6 linked regions of the Canis lupus familiaris genome follow. The protein of the gene in region 4 purifies or fractionates together with the protein of the main gene of each other region. This does not show direct contact. Links are inferred from orthologs where the notes say so. Each region holds a gene or a part of one and is shown on either strand. Other genes may lie near its edges.

Region 1 (3,500 bases), on a different chromosome or scaffold from region 4:
CTAGGAAGTGCCAAGTTCCAGTAAAAGAGGCTTAAGCAAAGCCAGCCTGCTTTTGAGTTAAGAGAGGTTATTTCCACTTGAGAGGGTAGGGTTGGAGGTGAGAAGTGATTTCCTAAAGGAAGTGAAATTTGGAAAACCTCTCAATGCACAAGACAGAGCTATGGGGTAGGATTTGGGGAGAGCACTCTCCTGTGTGTGAATAAAGTATTAGCATAGAATATGTGCTTGGAACAGAGCAGTTTGGTTTTGGCAGGAGTGTAGTGTGAGTAAGAATGCAGAACATGGAATGAGATTGGATCTTGAAAGGCTTGGAGTGGTGACTAGACTGCATGTTCAGGCAAGTGCCCACAACTGTTACTGAGAAACAAAGGTTTACTCACTTCTTAAGAAGAAACTAATAATTTGGGGGGGTTAGTTCTTTTTTTTCTTTTTCTTTCTTTCTTTACAACAGGGGAAGAATTGCAATGTAGCAGTCATTATGAACTTAGAAGAACTTATGAACTTAGAACTTTTTTAGATTTTATTTATTTATTCATAGAGACACAGAGAGAGAGAGAGGCAGAGACACAGGCAGAGGGAGAAGCAGGCTCCATGCAGGGAGCCCAACATGGGACTCGATCCTGGGTCTTCAGGATCACACCCTGGACTGAAGGAGGCGCTAAACCGCTGAGCCACCTGGGCTGCCCAGTCTTATGAATTTAAATGTGCTAACATTTCATTGTAATTTTCTCATTGGTGATAACAATTTACCTTTTCTTAACTGCTATATGGTTTATAAAATTTAAATTACATAGTTTCCCCCTTTTTTTAAATTGAGGTATCATTGACATATTAGCTTCAGGGATCCCCGGGTGGCACAGCGGTTTAGTGCCTGCCTTTGGCCCAGGGCGCGATCCTGGAGACCCGGGATCGAATCCCACGTCGGGCTCCCGGTGCATGGAGCCTGCTTCTCCCTCTGCCTGTGTCTCTGCGCCCCTCTCTCTCTCTCTGTGACTATCATAAATAAATAAAAATTTAAAAAAAAAACATATTAGCTTCAGAGGTACAACATAATGATACGGTATTTGTGTATGTCATCAAATCACCATAAGTCTAGTTAACATCCATTGACAACAGAATTACAAATTGTTTTTTCTTGTGATGAGAACTTAAAGAAATATCCTCTTAGCAACTTTCAGATGTACAATATAGTATTGTTAACCATGGTCACCATGCTGTACATTACATCCCCATGTCTTACTTCTTTTATAACTGGCAGTTTGTATCTTTGATGCCCTTCCCTGTGTCTCCCACCCCCAACCCCCATTTCCTGCCTTTGGCAACTACCAGTCTGTTCTTTGTATCTATGAACTTGGTTTGTTTATATTTGTTTTTAAATTCCATGTATAAGTGAGATCATACTGGGGATTTTCTGTCTTTGTCTGGCTTATTTCACTTAGCATAATGCCCTGAGGATTCATCCATGTTGTCACGGGTGGCAAGATTTAATTTTCTGAGGCTAAATTATGTGTGTGTGTATGTGTGTGTGTGTGTAGATAGAGATTCCATTCTCTCTACCCATTTATCCCTCAGTGGACCCTTTGGGTTGTTTTGATATCCTGGCTATTGTCAATAATGTTTCAGTGAATATGGGGTACAAATATCTTTTTCTGGATTGTTTTGATGACTGAGAAGAAACATCATTTATATTATTCTTTCCATAAGTAGAAATTCTTTTTTGATTCCTGGGAATACTGTTGTTTTCAGTTCTGTTGTTGTTGAGTTTGTTTTTAATATATACAGTAGTGAAAAGGAAACTTGTTTGTTCTCTCTCTTCAGTGGATATGTGGAAGTTCAAATTCATAGTTGCCATATATCAGAAATACCTGTGATGGTGGTTCCATCAATTAGAGTAAAGGTTCTTGACCTGGGAGTTACGGATGTATCTCAGAAGTTTTATTTAGGGATCCCTGGGTGGCGCAGCGGTTTGGCGCCTGCCTTTGGCCCAGGGCGCGATCCTGGAGACCTAGGATCGAATCCCACATCGGGCTCCCGGTGCATGGAGCCTGCTTCTCCCTCTGCCTATGTCTCTGCCTCTCTCTCTCTCTCTCTCTCTCTGTGACTATCATAAATAAATAAAAATTGAAAAAAAAAAAAGAAGTTTTATTTAGCACAGTTGCCTGTTCCTATTTGGAATTTAATAGATGATTTATTTTTTCTTGTTTTAATGCTCTTTCTAGTAATCTGCAGCAACATCATATCAAACTGATAGGAAGTGAGGGGAAAAAACTCTAATATATAGAGCTTTATGTAGTGCTTAGGGAAAAAATAAGATTTATGGGGCACCTGGGTGGTATAGTCATTTGGGCATCTGACTCGGTTTTGGCTTGGGTCATGATCTTGGGATTTTGAAATTGAGCCCCAGATCAGACTCTGTGCTCTGTACTGAGTCTACTTGAAATTCTCTCTCCCTCTCCCTCCCCACTCCCCACCCCCAACTTGTGTGCACTCGCTCACTCTCTCTCTCGCTCACTCTCATAAATAAATCTTAAAAAAAAAAAAAAGAAGACGACGACTAGCGCACCTGGGTGACTCAGTTGGCTGAGCATCCAACTCTTGATTCCAGCTCAGGTCACGATCTCAGGGTCATGAGATCAAGCCCCACATTGGACTCTGTGCTGGGTGTGGAATCTGCTGAGGATTCTCTCTCTCCTTCTTAAAAATAAAAAACCACAAAACTGAGGATTTAGATCTTTTAGGGTGGAAAATTCTGTTTTCATTTTAGTGTTTTTCTCTTTATGTGGACTGTGTCTAATCAGAGCTGACATTCTTGTAGTCACTTTCTGCATCATTTTCAGTTTCCGCTCAGGCTCCAAACTCTGCCATCACAGCTCAAACTGGTGTCGGGGTAGCATCCACGGTCCACCTAAACCCCATGCAGTTGATGACAGTAGATGCTTCTCATGCTCGACATATCCAAGGGATCCAGCCAGCACCCATCAGTACACAGGGGATACAGCCAGCCCCCATCGGGACTCCAGGAATACAGCCAGCACCAATGGGCACACAGGGAATTCACTCAGCAACCCCAATCAGCACACAGGGACTTCAGCCTGCACCAATGGGTACTCAGCAGCCACAGCCTGAAGGAAAGACTTCAGGTAATTTGAGTTTTTGCATGGAAGTTGGTATGGAGGAAAGAGTGATACTAGGTTTAAATCCTGGTTCTGCTACATATTGGTTAGGTAGTCTCGATTAATTTCTCTGTGCCTTAATTTCCCTTTTTTAACATGAATTGCTTGTAATTTATCTGTCAGAGTCATTGTAAACATTAAGAAATATATACATAAACAGCCAAATATGCGTTTGCATGTGTTAAAGCACTCCATAAAGTTGAGAGAGCAAATTCACCTTATTACAGTGTTCTCATTCTGTTTAAGATTTTTTTTGGAGTTGTATATGAAGCTGTAAAATTAATGTATCATTTTTAAGGATTGTTGGTATCCTTTTTAGGTGTTGAG
Region 2 (3,021 bases), on a different chromosome or scaffold from region 4:
CTTCCAGTTTATTCATGGTGGTCACACTGCCAAGATATCTGATTTCTCCTGGAATCCCAATGAACCTTGGGTGATTTGTTCTGTATCAGAAGATAATATCATGCAAGTGTGGCAAATGGTAAGTGGTGTCATTTATTTGGGGGAAGTTAAATAAATGAGATGTAGTATCACTTCATATTTATCGACTTTACAAATACAGCTGGCATCTCTGGTTAGTTTACTCCTAAGTATGATTTTAGCATTTGCTGCACATTATCATTTTCAAGTGCCTGCTCATTGCTTTTAGCTGCTTATCACACTGCTTATCTCAGACTTAAGGAAACCACACTTCTCTCCTCCTCCTCATTCCCCCTTTCTCCCGATTTTCCTGTTTCCTATATGGCTCCAGTGTAGTGTCCCGCCCCCCCCCCCGCCCCCCAGCGCATCCAACTTGAAAATTCAAGAGTTCTTCATTAATTTTTTTTTTAAGATTTTATTTATTTATTCATAGAGACAGAGAGAGAGGCAGAGGGAGAAGCAGGCTCCATACAGGGAGCCTGATGTGGGACTCAATCCCAGGGCCCCAGGATCACACCCCAGGCTGCAGGCGGCGCCAAACTGCTACGCCACCGGGGCTGCCCGAGTTCTTCATTATTTATTCACCTCTAAGTCTAGTTTACTTAACAGATTTTACATTGTATGCATTGTTTCTTGTATCTGTACTCACCTTACAGATAAACCACTTACATACCCCACTTTCCTATTTCTACTACACACCCTGATTTTTTGGTCATGTTCTCATTACTACTTGCTAGACTCTTGCAATAGCCTCCTTGCTGGCCTCCTGCTTTCCCTGCTTTGCTAGCTGTTGAATCTTTGGGAATGATCATTCCTTTGATGTGGTTTGTGAACATGCCTAGCACAGTTTCTTTTTTTTTTTTTTTTTTTTTTAAGATTTTTTTTATTTATTCATGAGAGACCCACAGAGAGAGAGAGGCAGAGATGCACAGAAGCAGGCTCCAGGCAGGAAGCCCGATGTGGGGCTTGATCCCAGGACTCCGAGATCATACCCTGGACCAAAGGCAAAACGCTCAACCACCCAGGCATCCCCCTAGCACAGTTTCTACCACAATGGCACAGAATCACATACTGCCATTTCTCCATGAAGTGTTACTAGATTCCCAAAATACTCCTGCCCCTTTTACCCCAATTGGGAATTGATTACCCGTTTTTGAATTTCCCGAGTGCTTGGAATTTAATAAGATATCTTTATTAAATTGTCTAATATATAGCAATATAAGAAACATTGGCCTTCTGGAGATGAATGGTGGTGATAGTTGCAGACAAGGTGAATGCCACTGAACTGAACACTTAAAAATGATTAAGATGGCAAATTTTTATATAATAATTTTTAAATTATTTTTATAATTTTAAATTTTTATTTTTACCACCATTTTTTAATTGCATAACTTTTGAATGATCGTGGCCTGATGAATGAAAAGATTTGGAAAAAAAGCTTTTGGTGTTTTAAAGTAGATGTAGAGGTAGGAATAAGCTCCAGGGGAAAATTTTTGGTTCAGTGTAAGGAAAAATACTTTAAATAATCAGAACTCTCTTGAAGAATAGCACTATTAATCAAAGTTAAAGAAATGAAAAGAAAGGGGATCCCTGAGTGGCTCACCGGTTTAGTGCTGCCTTCTGCCCGGGGCATGGTCCTGGAGTCCAGGGATCAAGTCCCACATCGGGCTCCCTGCATGGAGCCTGCTTCTCCCTCTGCCTGTGTCTCTGCCTCTCTCTGTGTGTCACTCATTCATTAATTAATAAATAAATAAATAAATAAATAAATAAATAAATAAATAAATAAATCTTGAAAAGAAAAAGAAAAAGAAATGGAAAGAAAAAAAATGAGTTTTTGTGGCTTATGAGATTAACAAGTTACATAGTATATCCATACTTTGAAATGTTATATATCCAAAAGAAATATGCTTCGTTTTCATAAGATATTCATGACATGAAGTAGGGAAAAAAGCAGATCGTTGGACAATAAATAGCATTTTATAATCCCTCATATTATTATAGCTAGTCTTGAATTTAATTATATGTAATTATTTAGGAGGCTCTTTGCCATAAGATTGGTATATTTAGGGAGTTTTTTTATTTCTTTTTTTTTTTTTTTTTTAAAGATTTTATTTATTTATTCATGAGATACACAGAGAGAGAGGCAGAGACACAGGCAGGAGAAACAGGCTCCATGCAGGGAACCCGACATGGGACTCGATCCTGGATCTCCAGGATCATGCTCTGGGCTGAAGGCAGCGCTAAACTGCTGAGCCACCCAGGCTGCCCTTTGGATTTCTTTATATACCTATCACTATTACGATTTGTAATAATAAGTACGTATTACACATATAAACAGAAAATCTACCTCACCTTTTTCCTTGTAATATATGCATAGATAATTAATATAAAAAGTTAAGAGCTCTTTAAACATTTTTTAAGATTTTATTTATGCACACATGTGTGGGGTGGGGGGCAAAGGGAGAAAGAGAAGTGGGCTCCCCACTGAGCAGCGAGACCAATGTCCTCAGATGGGCCTCAATCCCAGGACCCTGAGATCATATCCTGAGCCAAAGGCAGTCTTTTAACCAACTGAGCTACGCAGGTGCCCCTAAAGTTAAGAGTTCTGACAGGAGGGTGATATGTGCTGCCTTGGGATAGCCTGTCAATTAAACCTATTTTAGTTGCTGTGGAATGTTGCAGGATATTGAACTACATCATCTTCAGGCCAGTTTGTTCTTTTGCTCCGTGTTTTTAGAATAGTGGTAAAAGAACAATAGAATTGTTAAACAAGTGAATATTCAGTGTTTGTCCAAGATCCTAAAACCCTTAAGGTTGTCTAAGTGGTAGGAGTCTGTTTTTAAGGAGCCCCTTTTGGCCATACCTGAGTTTAAGCTAAGGAGGTAATTTTGGGGCCTCTGGAAGGCCTCAGGATGGGATTGGTCTCCTGAAAAAAACAGTTGGGAGAACTCTTCAGTCGTGTCA
Region 3 (3,500 bases), on a different chromosome or scaffold from region 4:
AATGTGCAAATAAATAGAAAAGGAAAAACTACATTCAAAACAGCTGCAAAGGAAGTACAAGCCCCAGAACAGAAATTCTTCAAAAACAGAAGAGACGCTCCCTAGAAGCATGCAGGGCGGGGCTCAGTGGGGTGTGGCCCGCACCCCAGGGCCGCAGAGAGGCACGGAAGGGGCCACGGGCTCCGGAGGATGGCGCTGGGAGGGTCTGGTTCAGGAATTCCGGTAAGTTCCCTTCTTATAAAACAAGGATGTGGACAAAGTGCCTGGTACACTTGAGCAAACATGGGCTAGAAGACCCTGGGCAGGGCACACTGGCCCTGGAATCGCCCAGACCCCGAGTCAAAGGCTTTGCAAACCTTGAGTTCCACAGGTAACTTCTAGAAACACATCTCCAATCCCCAGAACTGCATATTTGGCACAGCTCAGTTTTGGGAGGGTGAGGGCTGCTGCTGGGCAGAAAGGAGGCCGCACGGGGATGGTTCTGGAGCCCCTGTTGGTTGACCCCCTTCTGATGGTGCCAGGAGCCCGGCCAGGACTTTTCATGGTGCAGGAATTCTAGAGAGCTGGTCCCCAGCCCAGACTGCTTGGCATTCTTGGCACAGAAAGCCTCTGTAGGGCAGTCGCCTCAGCCCCTCATGCCTGTCCCCTGTCCAGGTGGTGGCTCTAGGAATGGCAACGTCAAGGGCAGACCTGCAGAGTCCCACGAAGAGGGCTCTCAACTGCCCAAGGAACCGTGGGACTTGGCTGCTGCAGAAGTTACAACCACTAGGAGAGCTTATGAATAAATACTTGTGTGCATATATATATTTCTAGAATGTCCTTCTTAGGTACATGGCCGCACCTCTGGCCCCCCCACCAGTGTGGGGCCACTCGAGCTCCAAGGGAGTTTCAGGCTGAGCCCCCTCCCCTCGGGAGCTCGGAGTGTGGCTGCCATGTCAACACAGGGTTTGGAGTCCCATTTCTTCCAGGGTGGGGCCTCCCATGCCACATCCTGACACCAAAGCAGAATCTCAACAGTTTGGCCCAAAGGGCTCCTCCTGCTTTCAAAGTGACCAAGGACCCCACGCATTAGCAGGGCCACACCCATGCCCAAACTATCAGATGCAGGCATGGTCCCAGCTTGGGAAATTTCCAGAAGCTTTTAGAACCATTCAGGAAGGACAAGCTTTTCAAGCAGATCCCCCAGGCCCGACTCCTTCGATGTTGGGGTCTCTTGAATGCCGACCCCCTCCCCCACACATGCCCCCCAACGCGCAGTTCATCACGGACTTTTCCAGACACTGCACAAAAGGACCAGTGGTGCCCTCACCTAGGGATTTGGCACGTGTGATGAAAGCGGCCCAGCAGGTGCATAAAGGCCATCACTTGCTCCTCGGCCAGCGTGTTGATCCTCCCCCTTCCAGCAAGGAGCGAGCCCCGAGTTCAAGTGCAGGAAGGGGTCAGGTTTGGCACGGGATAAACCCAAAGGAAGCAGGGAAGCCGAAAGGGATGGTAGCACAGGGCCACAAGCCGACACAACCCTATCCTCTAGAGCTCGCAGCCTGTAGCAGCAAGGCTGGGGGACACTGTGCTCCCCTCAGGTTGTTCATGAGAAGGCCCCGATGCACATCTGGGCCAGGGAAGTGGCTGCACCAAACCGCGCGTCATGGCGCCCACCGAGGGAGTCAGGGCGAGGCTGGGCGGCGGCTGTACTGCACTCGGTAGCGGGTCACAGGCAGGCCGTGCACGTGTGCCGTCTCACAGAGGGTCTTGCAGGGCACCATGTCCTCGTCCTCCTCGCCCATCAGCCAGTCCTGCACCAGGCCAGCCGCCTCCACTGTCACGTTGTCCTCCAGCCAGCGGCCATGCCACTCCTCAAAGTGCTGGTGGTGGCGCAGCAGGACCAGTGGTTGTACCTGCAGAAGGGGGTGGGGAGGGGAGTCAGGGCAGCCCCAGATAGCCGTGGGCCGGATCCTGGGGGGAAAAAGGGTGCACACCACTCCCAGACAGCCGTGGCTCCCAGGCCCCGGGCAGAGAGGGGCACCTGCTTGGCCCGGCAGAGGGTCCCACGGCGGTACATGTAGTCCTCGGAGTTGACGATGAACATCATCTTGTGGGTGCTGAGCTTGAAGCGACAGTCCACGTTGCAGGCGCTCTCGACCCCGACCAGCCGCTTCCAGGAGCTCTTGGCCTCGCCGCGCAGGGCACGCACCTGCTCACACTGCCACCTGCGGAACTTCTTGAGGTTCCTGGAGGCGAGAGGAGGATCTGCAGACTGGGAAATCCTCACAGCCCGTAAACGCCGGGAAGACGGCTGACTTCCCCGGGGTCAGACAAATGCAGACCGATGTGGTGGAAACCACTACCCTACCCCTTTGGCCAGCAACACGGGGAAAACCAGTCAGGCCCTGGTGCTGGGCCCTGCTGCTGCCGGTGGTGGGAGCGGGTCCCCCGGGAAGGAACCACATCTGGGGGTCCTCTTACCTTTGCAGGAACACGGGCTTCAGGAGAAAGCCCTCGGTGGGCGAGCTGGATGCCCCCTCGGTCCCCACATACTGCTCCACATACCGAGCCAGGTGCTGTGGGGACATGGGGAGACAGGCCCGTGTCATTGGAGGCACCAGCCTCTCACCTGGGACCCTGAGCTCAGGGGCTCCCAGGGATTTCATCCTCAGTTTCCCAAAGCATCGGGAGGGTGGCAGCTACTGAGGAGCCACCAGATGGCAGCAGCTCTGGCTGAAGCACTTGCCCAGAGCCACAAGGTAGACAGCTGTGGCATTTCACGCTTGGGTGGATAAGCACACCTGCTATATGACATCCTCTCTGCACCCGTCACGTGACAAGCTCCCCCAGGGAGCGGGGCCTTCACACAGAGGAGCTGGATCCGAGGAGCGGCAGGGACAGGCCAGGCAGGAGTTGGGGATGAGCAGAAGGCAGGGCTTGCAGGGGCTGCTCAGGTCAGGGGTGAGCATGGTCTGCCGTGTCCAAGTGACCCTCCCTCTGTTCACCACCTTCTAAAAGCCACAGGCTCCTCCAGACTCAAGCCTCACAAAACCACATTTGCTGGAAACTTCTGGAAGGAGCAGGGTGTACAGACCCCCACCTACACTTGTCTGGGAAAGCATCTGCTGTTGGGAAGCCCTGAGGCCCACAGGGAAGGATTCCACAAGGGGACCCCCACTGGCTGCAGTAGTGGGGAGGGCCCTACTCTGTGAAGGAGGCTAGGGGCTTAGAGGCACCGGGATACCAAGTGGAATGTGCATCTAGAGTGTGGGCCAGGGGGTTTCTCCTGGTGACCAGGGGCTGGGATCCAGGGCTCTGGGCTTCAGGCACGGGGAGTACAGGGCCACACGCCACAGGGTCGGAGTGACCATGCAGGCCATGGGCTCAAGGGGGATGACAGTGTTTGCAGCAGGTGGGAGGAGCCAGGAAGAGGGTTTTGGGGAAGGATGGCCTGGCTCTCACCTGCCTTCCTGCCCTGGACATGCACACTGGCTCCTGATGGGGCATGTGCAGTGGCC
Region 4 (4,069 bases):
TTTCTTGTTACCCACAGCTAGACAAGGGACATCCTAAATTTGTTCATTAATAACAGTGTCTCCTACTCAGATGGAATCATATGCATTAATTTATGTGGGTATTCAGTTCTCTTTCTCTCTTTTTTTTAAGATTTTATTTATTCATGAGAGACACAGAGAGAAGCAGAGACATAGGTGGAGGGAGAAACAGGTTCGCTATGGGGAGCCGGATGTGGGACTCGATCCCAGGACCCCAGGATCACACTCTGAGCCAAAGGCAGACACTCAACCGCTGAACCACCCAAGTTCCCCCAGTTCTCTCCCTTTCTAAGTTTCCACACAGCACCTTCCTTATGTCGGCGTAATTAACTTCCTGCAGGCAAAATGTTCTGCTTGCTCAGTTCGGAGTTGTTAGCAAGTTATTGGGTGGGGAAGAGCACCTTTTAAAAAATTAATATTCTAAGAAATGAGGCGGCAGTAATGTACGGCGCTTGGGTGTGATCATGTAAACAAGGCAGCCGGGACGCTACCATTTTTTAGGTAAACGTTTTCATCTGTAAAATTGGAGAAATACCTTATTGAGTACACCTAGACAAACAGAAAGGACTCCCACGGACGGGGAAAAACATCCTTTTGCTGACCCACGGATGGAATATCAGCATCTTTGCCTTTTCGTTTTCAATAAAGCTCCAATTAGGGGAGGAGCCAGGCTCTGGGAGATGATCACAAAAACTCTAGATGTCAGCGTTTCCCAACCTATAAAGGGGGTGGTTCAAGCCGTTCAGCCGTTTCAATGGAAGGAGGTCACCTCCACCTCCCAGGACCCTTCAACCCCTCTGCCTCTCAGGTCGCTAAGGCTCCTCGCTTTAGTTCTGGCTCCTTGCGCCGCCTGGCGGCCATTTCCAGAAGTGGCCAGCGAGCTTCGGGGGTCCTAGCCGCGGCCAGGGACGTCCAAGGATTTGCCTAACTCTAGAGAACGTTGTCTCTGCCCCTCCCACCGCCCGTCGAGGACTTTTAAGACTGCGATGAAGTCGCTGAGGTTAAAACGAAGGGGGCGTCGGGCGGCGTCTCCTCCCCAGGGATGACGGAGTCGGGCGGTCCCCGGGCAGCCCACGACCCGGAAGTCGCCGCCGGCGCGAGGCCCCCGTTGCCGAGCGCGGGCGCGCGGGGCGGGGCTTGGCGGAGACGGGGAAGGGGTTCCCGCGGCGGCCGCGGCTCCCGCTCGTCGGCTCGGCGGCTCCCCCGGGGGCTGCGAGGCGGGCGTCGAGTCCGCAGGGCGCGCGGCCGCGGCCGCTGGGTGGGACGCTCAGCCGCGGCCAGAGGCGACATGAGCGCTGCAGGGCTGTTGGCCCCGGCCCCGGCCCCGGCTGGAGCGCCGCCGGCTCCGGAGTTCTACCCAGAGGAGGACGAGGAGCTGGAGAGCGCCGAGGACGACGAGCGCAGCTGCCGGGGCCGCGAGTCGGACGAAGGTGCGTCCTGCGGCCGCCGGGGGCGGGGGCGGGGGCCGGGGCCGGGGCCGTCCGCCGCCGCGGGAGTGAGGGCGCTGCCCGGAGCGCAGTCCGGGCCCGGGGGAAGCTGACGGGGCCGCTGGGAGGAGCGCGGCTGCAGGAAGTGACCCCCACGGGCTCTGGGGCCGGGGCCGCGGGGGGTCCGGGGGGGACGTCGTGCCCTCACGGTCGCGGGAAGGAGGGCCTGGGGGAGCTGCTGTCGGAGCCGGAGGGCCCTTTAAGGCTCCTTTCCACTCCCGCAAGCGCCTCTGGCGAGCCTGCGCTCCGGGCTTTGCTGGTCGGGATGAGGAAGCTTTCCTCAGAGTACCTTGAGGACCCGCCCCCGCCCCCGCCCCCTCCCCCTTTTAGGTCCGGAGAGGCTCCGGGTGAAGGCCAGTTTGGCCTCCAGGTCCCCAGCTTGCTCGCCCCGACCGTGCGGCCAGCCCGGTGCAGGTGGAGAGTTCGGGTTGCTGAGAAGGCGCTGGGACCAGCCAGGTCAGGGTCTCGGTTTGCCCCGCCGAACCCAGCTTCGTGACCTTAGGCCGCTTATTACTTGAGCTTGCGAGCCTCAGTTTCCTCAGCCCGGAGCGGGGCTTCCTAGCGCAGGCGTGTGGGGGTTAGAGGGGGCGTGCGGGCCGCGCTGGGCCCGGTCGGCCGAGGAGGTCTCCACCGCGCCGGGGAAGCAGGCCCAGGCGAAGATCGGGATTTGCCTAATGGTGCCCGGGTGTTGTGTCTTCAGCCCCACGTTCTTCGTGTTATCATTGCTGCCTTCTCAGAGCCTGGCTCTTCAGACTGGGCTTTTCGGTTTGGCAAGTGTGAGGAAGACTGTTTTGGAGGGATTGAGGAAGGAGCTTACTGGAGACGGAGAAAGGTGAGGGGGAAAGAAAAAAAAAAGACGGGAGAAGAGAGGAGATAGAGACCAGCATGTGGGTAGAATATTCTGGCTGTGGAGCAGAAGGTTGGGCTCGCTGCCTGGAACAAGGAACATGCTTGGTTCCTCTCAGTTCCCCACGGTGGCCGGCCGATGACAGGAGTTCAGCGAAGGCCTCCTGACTGAGAGAGAGGCCAGGGCTCTGTGGAGACTCGGAGCTGCAGCAGCCTTTAAGGAGGCAGAGACGTGTGCACATGATCCAAGTCCAAGGAACTAATTGCGTTTGATTGAATTACATTCGAGGACGGGGCTTCACTAGGGGTTTTGAAAGTGAAACACTTGGGACCGCTCTAAATGCCCACTAGGGGGAGCCGAGAAGCCGAAATTGATTTTTATTCCCGGCCTGGAGTAGGGCTGTTGAAATAATGTAGACCCTTCACTATTGACATAGTCTAAGAACAGCGTTTGAAAAGTTCTGCAACACTTTCTCTTCGATCATCTTCCCCCTTTCATTGTAACTTTTTTTTTTTAAGTTTTATTTATTTATTCATGATAGACACACGGAGGCAGAGACACAGGCAGAGGGAGAAGCAGGCTCCATCCCAGGACTCCAGGATCACGCCCTGGGTCAAAAGCAGGCGCTAAACCGCTGAGCCACCCAGGAATCCCCTTATTGTAACTTTGAAAACATTTTAGTTTGTTAGGGTTCATTGGTTTGGATTCTTCTTTGTGTATATAGGGTTGTCAAATCTGCTGAAAGTTCCAAACTGGGGGTAGACCAGAAGAGAATGGACTCATTAGGTCATTTTGGAGTAACAAGCAAGGCCTGTCCGCCTGTAGTTGTCCTGACATTCGCAGCTCCAGATACTGAACTGCCAGCATGACTTCTCTCGTGAAGTTGCAGCCTTGACCATGACTGCCTACCTCTGAGGCACCGCACCCTGTTCTCTGGCTGTACTTCAGGTGAAGGCAGCTCGTTGCATAAATCTGGTCATGTCTAAACTGGAAAGGGCATTTTCTTTCCTGAAGTAACTGTAATATTTTTCACTGATGGCTTCATGCAGGCCTGCATTCATTTGACAGAAGTTTAAGTGTCACTGTGTCAGGTGATACCAACTTTATGAATTATGATTTTAACCTTTCTTCCCTGATTTTTTAGACACAGAAGATGCTAGTGAAACTGACCTGGCAAAGCATGATGAAGAGGACTATGTAGAAATGAAGGAACAGTGAGTATGAGTCTTAAATTTCTTGTTTGGAATCTACAGTTGACAGGGAAGTCATGACAGTGACCTTGTATTTATGATTTTGACCATAGAGCTTCCAGAGATCATGTGTATGTATACAGTTTCCCCCTTAAATTTGTCCTGTTTAATCGATCTTCCTGTTAAAACAATCTTTTGAGGGTTGGCTAGGAAGAACCTTGAGGGAGATGATCCCAGGGAAATAAAACCATCAGGAGAGAACTGTTTCCCACTCCTTTGAGGTTTTTTTTTTTTTTTTTTTCTTTTCTATATGTGAAAACCATTACTCAGAGTAAAGGATGTGTCATAGCTATTTGGTTCTCAGATGGGGGTGACCCTGCTGAGAGCTGACGGTGTGCAGGATGCCCGGAGAGCTCAGGGAGTCCTGGACTGGAGAGCAAGACTCCCGACTCCTGCTCCAGTACTCTTTCCACTTGTCACACATCCAGGCTCAAGCCTTCTCTAAATGCGCCCAGAGAAACGAAAAC
Region 5 (3,500 bases), on a different chromosome or scaffold from region 4:
TCTCTCTCTCTCTCATGAATAAATAAATAAAATCTTTTAAAAAAAAAGCAATATTTGCTGTAAAATGTTTAAATAACAATGAAACTCAGAATTTGCTTTAGGCGTCTGAATTTGTCCATAAATACAAAAAATTAATTTTCAAATTTAAGTAACTAAAACTACTGTTATAAGTATTTTATTAGGGCTAATCCTAAATAAATTTTGGCAAACTGAAAATCTGAAAAGCTTGCTTGCTTTTAATCTCTAATAAACGTGTATTAATGAAGTTACCACAGTTAACGTAACCCAGTATCTTGGCTTTCTAGTACAGTTTGAAAATTGAAAGATCTGAGATCATTTCAAGTTTTAAATCTTGATTAGGTGGTAAGTGCCTTGTGATGATGAACACACATAAATTTAGACTGTAAAGATTCTCTATTCAGTTGTCTTTTTTCTATTTTAGGTGATATTGGAAATTACTATTATGGACAGGGTCATCCCATGAAACCTCATAGAATCCGCATGACCCATAACTTGCTGCTAAATTATGGCTTATATAGAAAAATGGAAATATACGTAAGTATACCTTTTGGTAAATATTCAGTGTTGTTTTTTTTTTTTTTAATCTACTTTGAAATTATTAATCCCCTTAAATGGCGTTTAGCAGATGAAAACAAACTCTGGAAGAAAACAAACTCTTTTTGTTTTAATCTTCAGAGAAAACAGTGTGGGAATGGTTTTTAACCCTCTTACTCGACCATTTTTCAAAAGTTTCTCATATCCCACCTTTTCACATTTTGGCCAACAACTCAGTTTAGCAAACTAAATATCTTTGTTGCAATAGTGGTTTACTTGGCTGTGCTGCTGAAGAGTTGACTATTACAGAAGAATTATGTAGGAAATTCTACAAATACTTACTGACATATGGAGCAGTGTATTAGTGGATGTGTACAGTACAGCTAACATTTAGGATACACCTACCTTAAGTGCTTTTGCACTAATGTGGAAGTATATGTAAACAAATGCAAGACACAGTTCTTGCCTGTTTGGGGAGAAAAGAAAGACTTGAAACAGTTACTAGTATTGAGTATATATGAGTTACTTTTTTCAGATAACAAATATTTACAGGAAAGGAGGGGTTGGATTATATACTTTCTGGAAGCCTCCTGGGAAAAGTGTGTTAAAAATGAAATTGAGCTCTTGGGAATAAGGATAATTAGGATAGGCAAAGGAAAGGAAGAGATTGTGAACAAAGACTTAAAATTGAGCTTGAGTCTCAGTCTCACTTGATACAGAGCAGACGGTTTATGATGGAAAGTGAGAGTTCCTGAACAGATTCAACTTTATAAGCATTGACCCATTTCCACTGCAATAAAAGGAATGTATAATTGGGGTCAGACCTGTCTAATGGCTTTAAAGGAGTAGGAATTAGCTTTGGAATTGATTACTCATTTCTAAGAAATACACGTATAAATTTGGATTCACTTTGGAATTTATTTTCTGGCAGAGCTAGTTCTTCTGAGAGGATTGTTAGGGGAAATTGTGTACGTGGTGTTTGATGACTCTGATGTAACCAGTTGTGGCTCCACCATTCTGACATTTGTTTTTCTTCACAGAGGCCCCACAAAGCCACTGCTGAAGAAATGACAAAATACCACAGTGATGAGTACATCAAATTTCTACGTTCAATAAGACCAGATAACATGTCTGAGTATAGTAAGCAGATGCAGAGATGTACGTTTCTATGTTAAAAGTCTATGTTAATCTTACTAAGGATCAGTGAGTATTTTCTAGAAGCATATCATTAGAATATCCACATGTAGGTGTTCCGCCTGAGGAAGATACTTCCTTAGTTAATTACTGGTTTGAAAAGTCAATGTAAAAATTAAAAATACTAAAACTGCTTTAAAAAAAACAACAAAAAAAACCAGGCGCCTGGGTAGCTCAGTTGACTCACTGATGCTGAGCTCGAGGCTTGCGTCGGCCTCCGCACCCAGCACAGTCAGGTCCCTCTCTCCCCCTGCTTGTGGGTGCGCCCTCACGCGGACCTGAGCACTTTCTCTCCCAGAAAGAAGGAAAGAAAATCGTAAAACCCAAAACAAAATCTACCCGAAGCCTGAGCTCTTGGGAATAAGGATAATTAAGATATCCATCTGCCAGACGGCCCAAGAGCTGTCTGGATGTTCCTCTAGTCTTTGTTTTGGTCCCATGTTACCTTGGGGATGATGGGTATTGGTGGGGAGACCTTACTTCCCTGCCTTTTTAAAAAAAAAAAAGTCTACTTGGATTGGCCTTAGCTTGGTGTATGTACGGATCTCTTACCTCTCTTTGTGTGTTTTAGTTAATCTGGATTGTTAATACATAATCTGTTCCATTTGTTAGTGAAGCTTCTTCTACGTGATTTTGATTTTGATTTTCTTCTACGTGATACTCTCTTTTATAGATACGTGTTTTGTTATTAGCGGTTGCCTGGCTTGAAAGTGGAATGAGAAATGTCTTAAAATGATTGAAACAGTTTTTTTTTTTAAAGCATGATACTGAAGTTCATTCTCATCAGCAGTTCTGTTCTCTCATGAATAAATAAATAAAATCTTTTAAAAAAAAGCAATATTTGCTGTAAAATGTTTAAATAACAATGATTTTAAAATCACTTCAGTGATTTTTTTTGAGAAGAACAATTTCAGATACTAAATTAGGTGTAGTGGCTTGATAAGTTATACATTCATAGAACTTTGTACCCATTTCTACCTTAGATTATTTCATTTACTCAATAAAATGCTATAATGCATGTAGAACATATTTTTTATACCTTTTTTTTGGATACAGGTTCAGGCTTAGATTAAAAGTCCTGTGTAGATAGGGCAAATGAATTAACAGGATTGATTTAATACATAATACTGAATTATATTAAGATTATGATTATATTTAAATAGTAAGAAACTAAAAGCTGTTCATTATCATGCTAATAAACTAAAGGTATACAAAGCTATGTAAAATAATTACCCTTATTTTTGAAGAGGTTATAATTGGGGTGGGAAGAGGCTGCGAATGGGTCATGTACATAAATAATATGTCCCTTTAATCCTGTCAGTACTGAGGAACTAAATATATTGCAATGTGTCATGTACCCGTGTTGTTTCCTTGTGCTTTACCCCTTCCTTCTATGTCTTGGCTGCTCCGAACCTAGTTAATTCTTACCATCCTTTAAGATTGGGTAGGCAGCCAGCTGCTTTGTCTTTTTAGTACTCACTAAAATATATTTCAAAGTTATGGATGTTCTGTGCATTTAAGGAGTTTTAGAAAAAGTAAATCATAAAGGAATTAAAGTTTTTTAAGTTTTTTAGAACCTTGATTAATTTGTTGTATGTTTTAGGAGAAATGCCTAATATTTAAGTGCGTGTTTTAATTTAAATAATTCAAATACCTTTTATATTTTGGTGGCTATTGATCTTCTGATAATAGAGCTGAGATTTTCTACAAATTATCCTGGTAGGATTTGGTGGTGATGTTTTACATATAAC
Region 6 (3,500 bases), on a different chromosome or scaffold from region 4:
GGTTTTTGAGCAGGGGAATGGTGTTATTAAAGCTGTGTGTTAGAAAAATAACTGGTCAGTGTGGCAGATAGTTTTGAGTTGAAGACAGAGGAACCAATTAGAAGTCTATTGCTATAGAGGAAGCTAGAGATGATAAGAGTTTAGTTTTCTTATCTATACAATAGGAATAATACTCCTGTTTTACCAGGTTCTTGTGAGGATCCATTAATTTTTTTTTAAGATTTTATTTATTTATTCATAGACACAGAGAGAGAGAGGCAAAGACACAGGCAGAGGGAGAAGCAGGCTCCGTGCAGGGAGCCTGATGTGGGACTCGATCCTGGGTCTCCAGGATCACACCCCAGGCTGCAGGCTGCGCCAAACCGCTACGCCACCAGGGCTGCCCCTGAGGATCCATTAAGAAAGTAAATGTAAATGTGCTTTAACCCCATAAAGTGTTTTAATATGAAAGAGGTGAACTGTGACTTATAATAATTCTGAATAGTAATGGTTATTTTTCTGTTGTGGGAGTGAATTCTTTGCAGATACGGTGAGGTGAATCACCTTGTTGCCTGCTATTCTCCAGTAGCTTTGGAATGAACCGTTTTTACACTGTGTAGTGCCTGTCGGCTAGGCTTATTTTTTTTTTTAATTTTTTAAATTTTATTTATTTATGATAGGCACACAGTGAGAGAGAGAGGCAGAGACACAGGCAGAGGGAGAAGCAGGCTCCATGCACCGGGAGCCCGACGTGGGACTCGATCCCGGGTCTCCAGGATCGCGCCCTGGGCCAAAGTCAGGCGCTAAACCGCTGTGCCACCCAGGGATCCCATCGGCTAGGCTTATATCTTTAAGTGCTGGACTCACCAGAGTCCCCTGCTTTTTTTGTTTGTTGTTCCTGTTTTGTTTTGTTTTATTTTTATTTTGTTTTTTTTTGTTTGTTTGTTTTATTTTTATTTTGGAGTTAACTCTTCCTCAAGGTGGGTGAGAATCTTGGGGACTAGAACGAAAGAGAAAGAATATGATTAGGAGATGGTTATAAAAATTCCTGGATTCTCCTGGGAGTGTATGTCTAACTGTGTCACTGAAACTGTCACTCTTTTTTCTTCAGGGGATGTTGGAAATTACTATTATGGACAAGGCCACCCAATGAAGCCTCACCGAATCCGTATGACTCACAATTTGCTACTTAACTATGGTCTCTACCGAAAAATGGAAATCTATGTGAGTTACTGGGACCCCCACCACTCCCTAACCCCATCAGCTCTAGTTATGTTATCTCATTTTCTCAACTACTCATTCATCAGATGTGTCGAATGGGCTGTTATGTGGCAGACATTGAAAGAGATTTCTGTTTTTAAAGGGTTCGCTCCAGTGCTGGAGACTGACAGGTACACAAATAAATTGTACTACAGTCTGAGGGCGTACAATTAAATAATGTACAAGATACAGAGATAATGAAAAGTGAAGGAGGAAGGGAAGCCTTGGAATGTTTCCTGGAGGTACTATCTGAGCAGAATTTTAAATATTGAATAGAATTTAGCCAGGAGTTCAGGAGGGGACTGACATTCTAGACCAAGGGAAGAGTGTAAACAAAAAGGCAAAGAGGTAAGAACAGTATGGTGTGTTTGGGGAAACTATGAGTAGTTTCTAGGTAGTGCTATAGTGTAAAGGTCTCACGGGTGTGAGTAAAGGGACCTACAGTTGGAGAGGTCAGCAAGGATTGGATATGCTGTACTATGTAATAAGCAACTCTGATGGGCCAGGATTTAAAAAAAAAAATCCAATGCCTAAAAAAAGAGCAATTGGGACTATGTTGAGCTAGACAAGTCCCTAATTACTAGAGAGCATAGACTCTAAACTGCTTGACTCAGTTCCGTCTGATTTTTGCCCACCTACCGGTTTTTATTTTATTTATTTATTTTTTAAAGATTGTATTTATTTGAGAGAGAGAGCACAAGCATATGGAGAGGGATGCCTCCACTGGTGGTGCCCCCACCATCAGTTTTTAAAGAGAAGTTAGGGATCCATATTATTCTGTAATGTGGGGCCTGATCTCAAGACCTTGAGATCGTATTCTGAGCTGAACCTGAGAGTTGGACACTTAATTGATTATGCCACCCAGGTGCTCCAAAGATTTTTTTTTTTTAAAGTAATCTCTACACCCAGTGTGGGGCTGAAACTTCAACCCCAAGATGGTGAGTTGCATGCTCTACTGACTGAGCCAGCCAGGCATCCCCAAGTAATGGATTTTAAATCAAAGAGAGATAAAACAGGTATGCATTTTATTTTTATTTATTCTTAAAATATTTTATTTATTTATTGGGGGGGTGCAGCTGGGTGGCTCAGTCGGTTAAGTGTCTGCCTTCGGCTCAGGTCATGATCTCAGGATTCTGGGATCGAGCCCCACATGAGGCTTCCTGCTTCTCCCTCTGTGCCTACTTGTGCTTTCTCTCTCTGTCAAATACATTAAAAAAATGAATTAAATTTTAGAAAATAGAGTTAGTGGGTGGGAGGGAAAGGGAGAGAGAATTTGAAGCAGACCGCATTGAGTGCAGAGCCACACATGGGGCTTGATCCTGCAACCGTGAGACTATGACTTGAGCTGAAACCAAGAGTTGGATGCTTAAACCGACTGAGCCACCCAGGTGCTAAGTAATCTGCCCGGTATGGGGTGAAAACTCTCAGCCTCGAGATCAAGAGTCACATGTTCCACCAACTGAGCCAGTCAGGAGCCTCCAGGCATGCATTTTAGTAGGGAAGCCAGTTAGGCTGTTGCAAAGGTCCAAATGAGAAAATAAAGAAGGGCTGGGAGCCTATGTTGCCTTATGGTTAGAGCCTAAGAGTCTGTGGTTAAAGTCTGTGCTGGCAGCTTAAGTAACCTAGCAACAGCAGTATCCTTCCTCACCATTCCAGAGACTGAGAGGAGATGAGTCTTCTGTCTCAGATGGCCCTGTTATGTCCCTAGAGCCACTGGAGGCAGCTGGGGAAGCAAGGAGGGAAGGTAGACAGAGGAGCAGGCAGATGTGGGACCAGAGACCTTTGTCAGGTGTGAAAGGCATCTGAGAATGAAAAACATAAAAGGTAGCAGACAGAGGTTTTGAGGGACTCTAGGGAGTAGACTAGCATTTAGATAAAAAGAGGATACCTGAATGTGGAATAGCGAGCGCCGAGACCTTCCAGAGTTCCCTCTTATACATCTATACCTTGCTAATCTGGCTCTAGCTTGCCTCCTTTTCTGTCACTCCCCTCTCAGAACCCTCAGATCAGATTCTGCCTCTTTCTACCCCATCCTGACTGGGAGGATTACTCTGCCCAGTCATATTTTACTCATCTTCAAAAGTTACCTCAAGCCCTCTTTCTCTCTTTCATTCAGTATATATATATATTTATGATAGTCACACACAGAGAGAGAGAGAGAGAGAGAGGCAGAGACACAGGCAGAGGGAGAAGCAGGCTCCATGCACCGGGAGCCCGACGTGGGACTCGATCCCGGGTCTCCAGGATCGCGCTCTGGGCCA

Evidence for each region.
Region 1: the proteins of SUDS3 (region 4) and SAP130 purify together in Homo sapiens (affinity purification with western blotting; 3 studies listed by BioGRID, with this or other methods). This does not show direct contact. The link is inferred for Canis lupus familiaris from reciprocal best matches to the Homo sapiens genes SUDS3 and SAP130.
Region 2: the proteins of SUDS3 (region 4) and RBBP4 purify together in Homo sapiens (affinity purification with mass spectrometry; 5 studies listed by BioGRID and IntAct, with this or other methods). This does not show direct contact. The link is inferred for Canis lupus familiaris from reciprocal best matches to the Homo sapiens genes SUDS3 and RBBP4.
Region 3: the proteins of SUDS3 (region 4) and SIN3B purify together in Homo sapiens (affinity purification with mass spectrometry; 3 studies listed by BioGRID and IntAct, counting the BioPlex papers as one, with this or other methods). This does not show direct contact. The link is inferred for Canis lupus familiaris from reciprocal best matches to the Homo sapiens genes SUDS3 and SIN3B.
Region 5: the proteins of SUDS3 (region 4) and HDAC2 purify together in Homo sapiens (affinity purification with mass spectrometry; 5 studies listed by BioGRID and IntAct, with this or other methods). This does not show direct contact. The link is inferred for Canis lupus familiaris from reciprocal best matches to the Homo sapiens genes SUDS3 and HDAC2.
Region 6: the proteins of SUDS3 (region 4) and HDAC1 purify together in Homo sapiens (affinity purification with mass spectrometry; 9 studies listed by BioGRID and IntAct, counting the BioPlex papers as one, with this or other methods). This does not show direct contact. The link is inferred for Canis lupus familiaris from reciprocal best matches to the Homo sapiens genes SUDS3 and HDAC1.

Annotation. Positions count from the first base shown.
Region 1 is NC_049240.1:23,985,439-23,988,938, forward strand, and holds part of SAP130 (histone deacetylase complex subunit SAP130), read left to right. Parts: intron 1-2,837; coding exon 2,838-3,140; intron 3,141-3,500. UniProt on the Homo sapiens protein: Acts as a transcriptional repressor. May function in the assembly and/or enzymatic activity of the mSin3A corepressor complex or in mediating interactions between the complex and other regulatory complexes.
Region 2 is NC_049223.1:68,034,542-68,037,562, reverse strand, and holds part of RBBP4 (histone-binding protein RBBP4), read left to right. Parts: intron 1-7; coding exon 8-118; intron 119-3,021. UniProt on the Homo sapiens protein: Core histone-binding subunit that may target chromatin assembly factors, chromatin remodeling factors and histone deacetylases to their histone substrates in a manner that is regulated by nucleosomal DNA.
Region 3 is NC_049241.1:46,153,594-46,157,093, forward strand, and holds part of SIN3B (paired amphipathic helix protein Sin3b), read right to left. Parts: intron 2,559-3,500; coding exon 2,464-2,558; intron 2,229-2,463; coding exon 2,024-2,228; intron 1,896-2,023; coding exon 1,665-1,895; 3' UTR 1-1,664.
Region 4 is NC_049247.1:15,056,198-15,060,266, forward strand, and holds the start of SUDS3 (sin3 histone deacetylase corepressor complex component SDS3), read left to right. Parts: upstream 1-1,269; 5' UTR 1,270-1,306; coding exon 1,307-1,448; intron 1,449-3,496; coding exon 3,497-3,566; intron 3,567-4,069.
Region 5 is NC_049233.1:70,470,522-70,474,021, reverse strand, and holds part of HDAC2 (histone deacetylase 2), read left to right. Parts: intron 1-442; coding exon 443-555; intron 556-1,595; coding exon 1,596-1,713; intron 1,714-3,500. UniProt on the Homo sapiens protein: Histone deacetylase that catalyzes the deacetylation of lysine residues on the N-terminal part of the core histones (H2A, H2B, H3 and H4).
Region 6 is NC_049223.1:68,324,560-68,328,059, reverse strand, and holds part of HDAC1 (histone deacetylase 1), read left to right. Parts: intron 1-1,090; coding exon 1,091-1,203; intron 1,204-3,500. UniProt on the Homo sapiens protein: Histone deacetylase that catalyzes the deacetylation of lysine residues on the N-terminal part of the core histones (H2A, H2B, H3 and H4).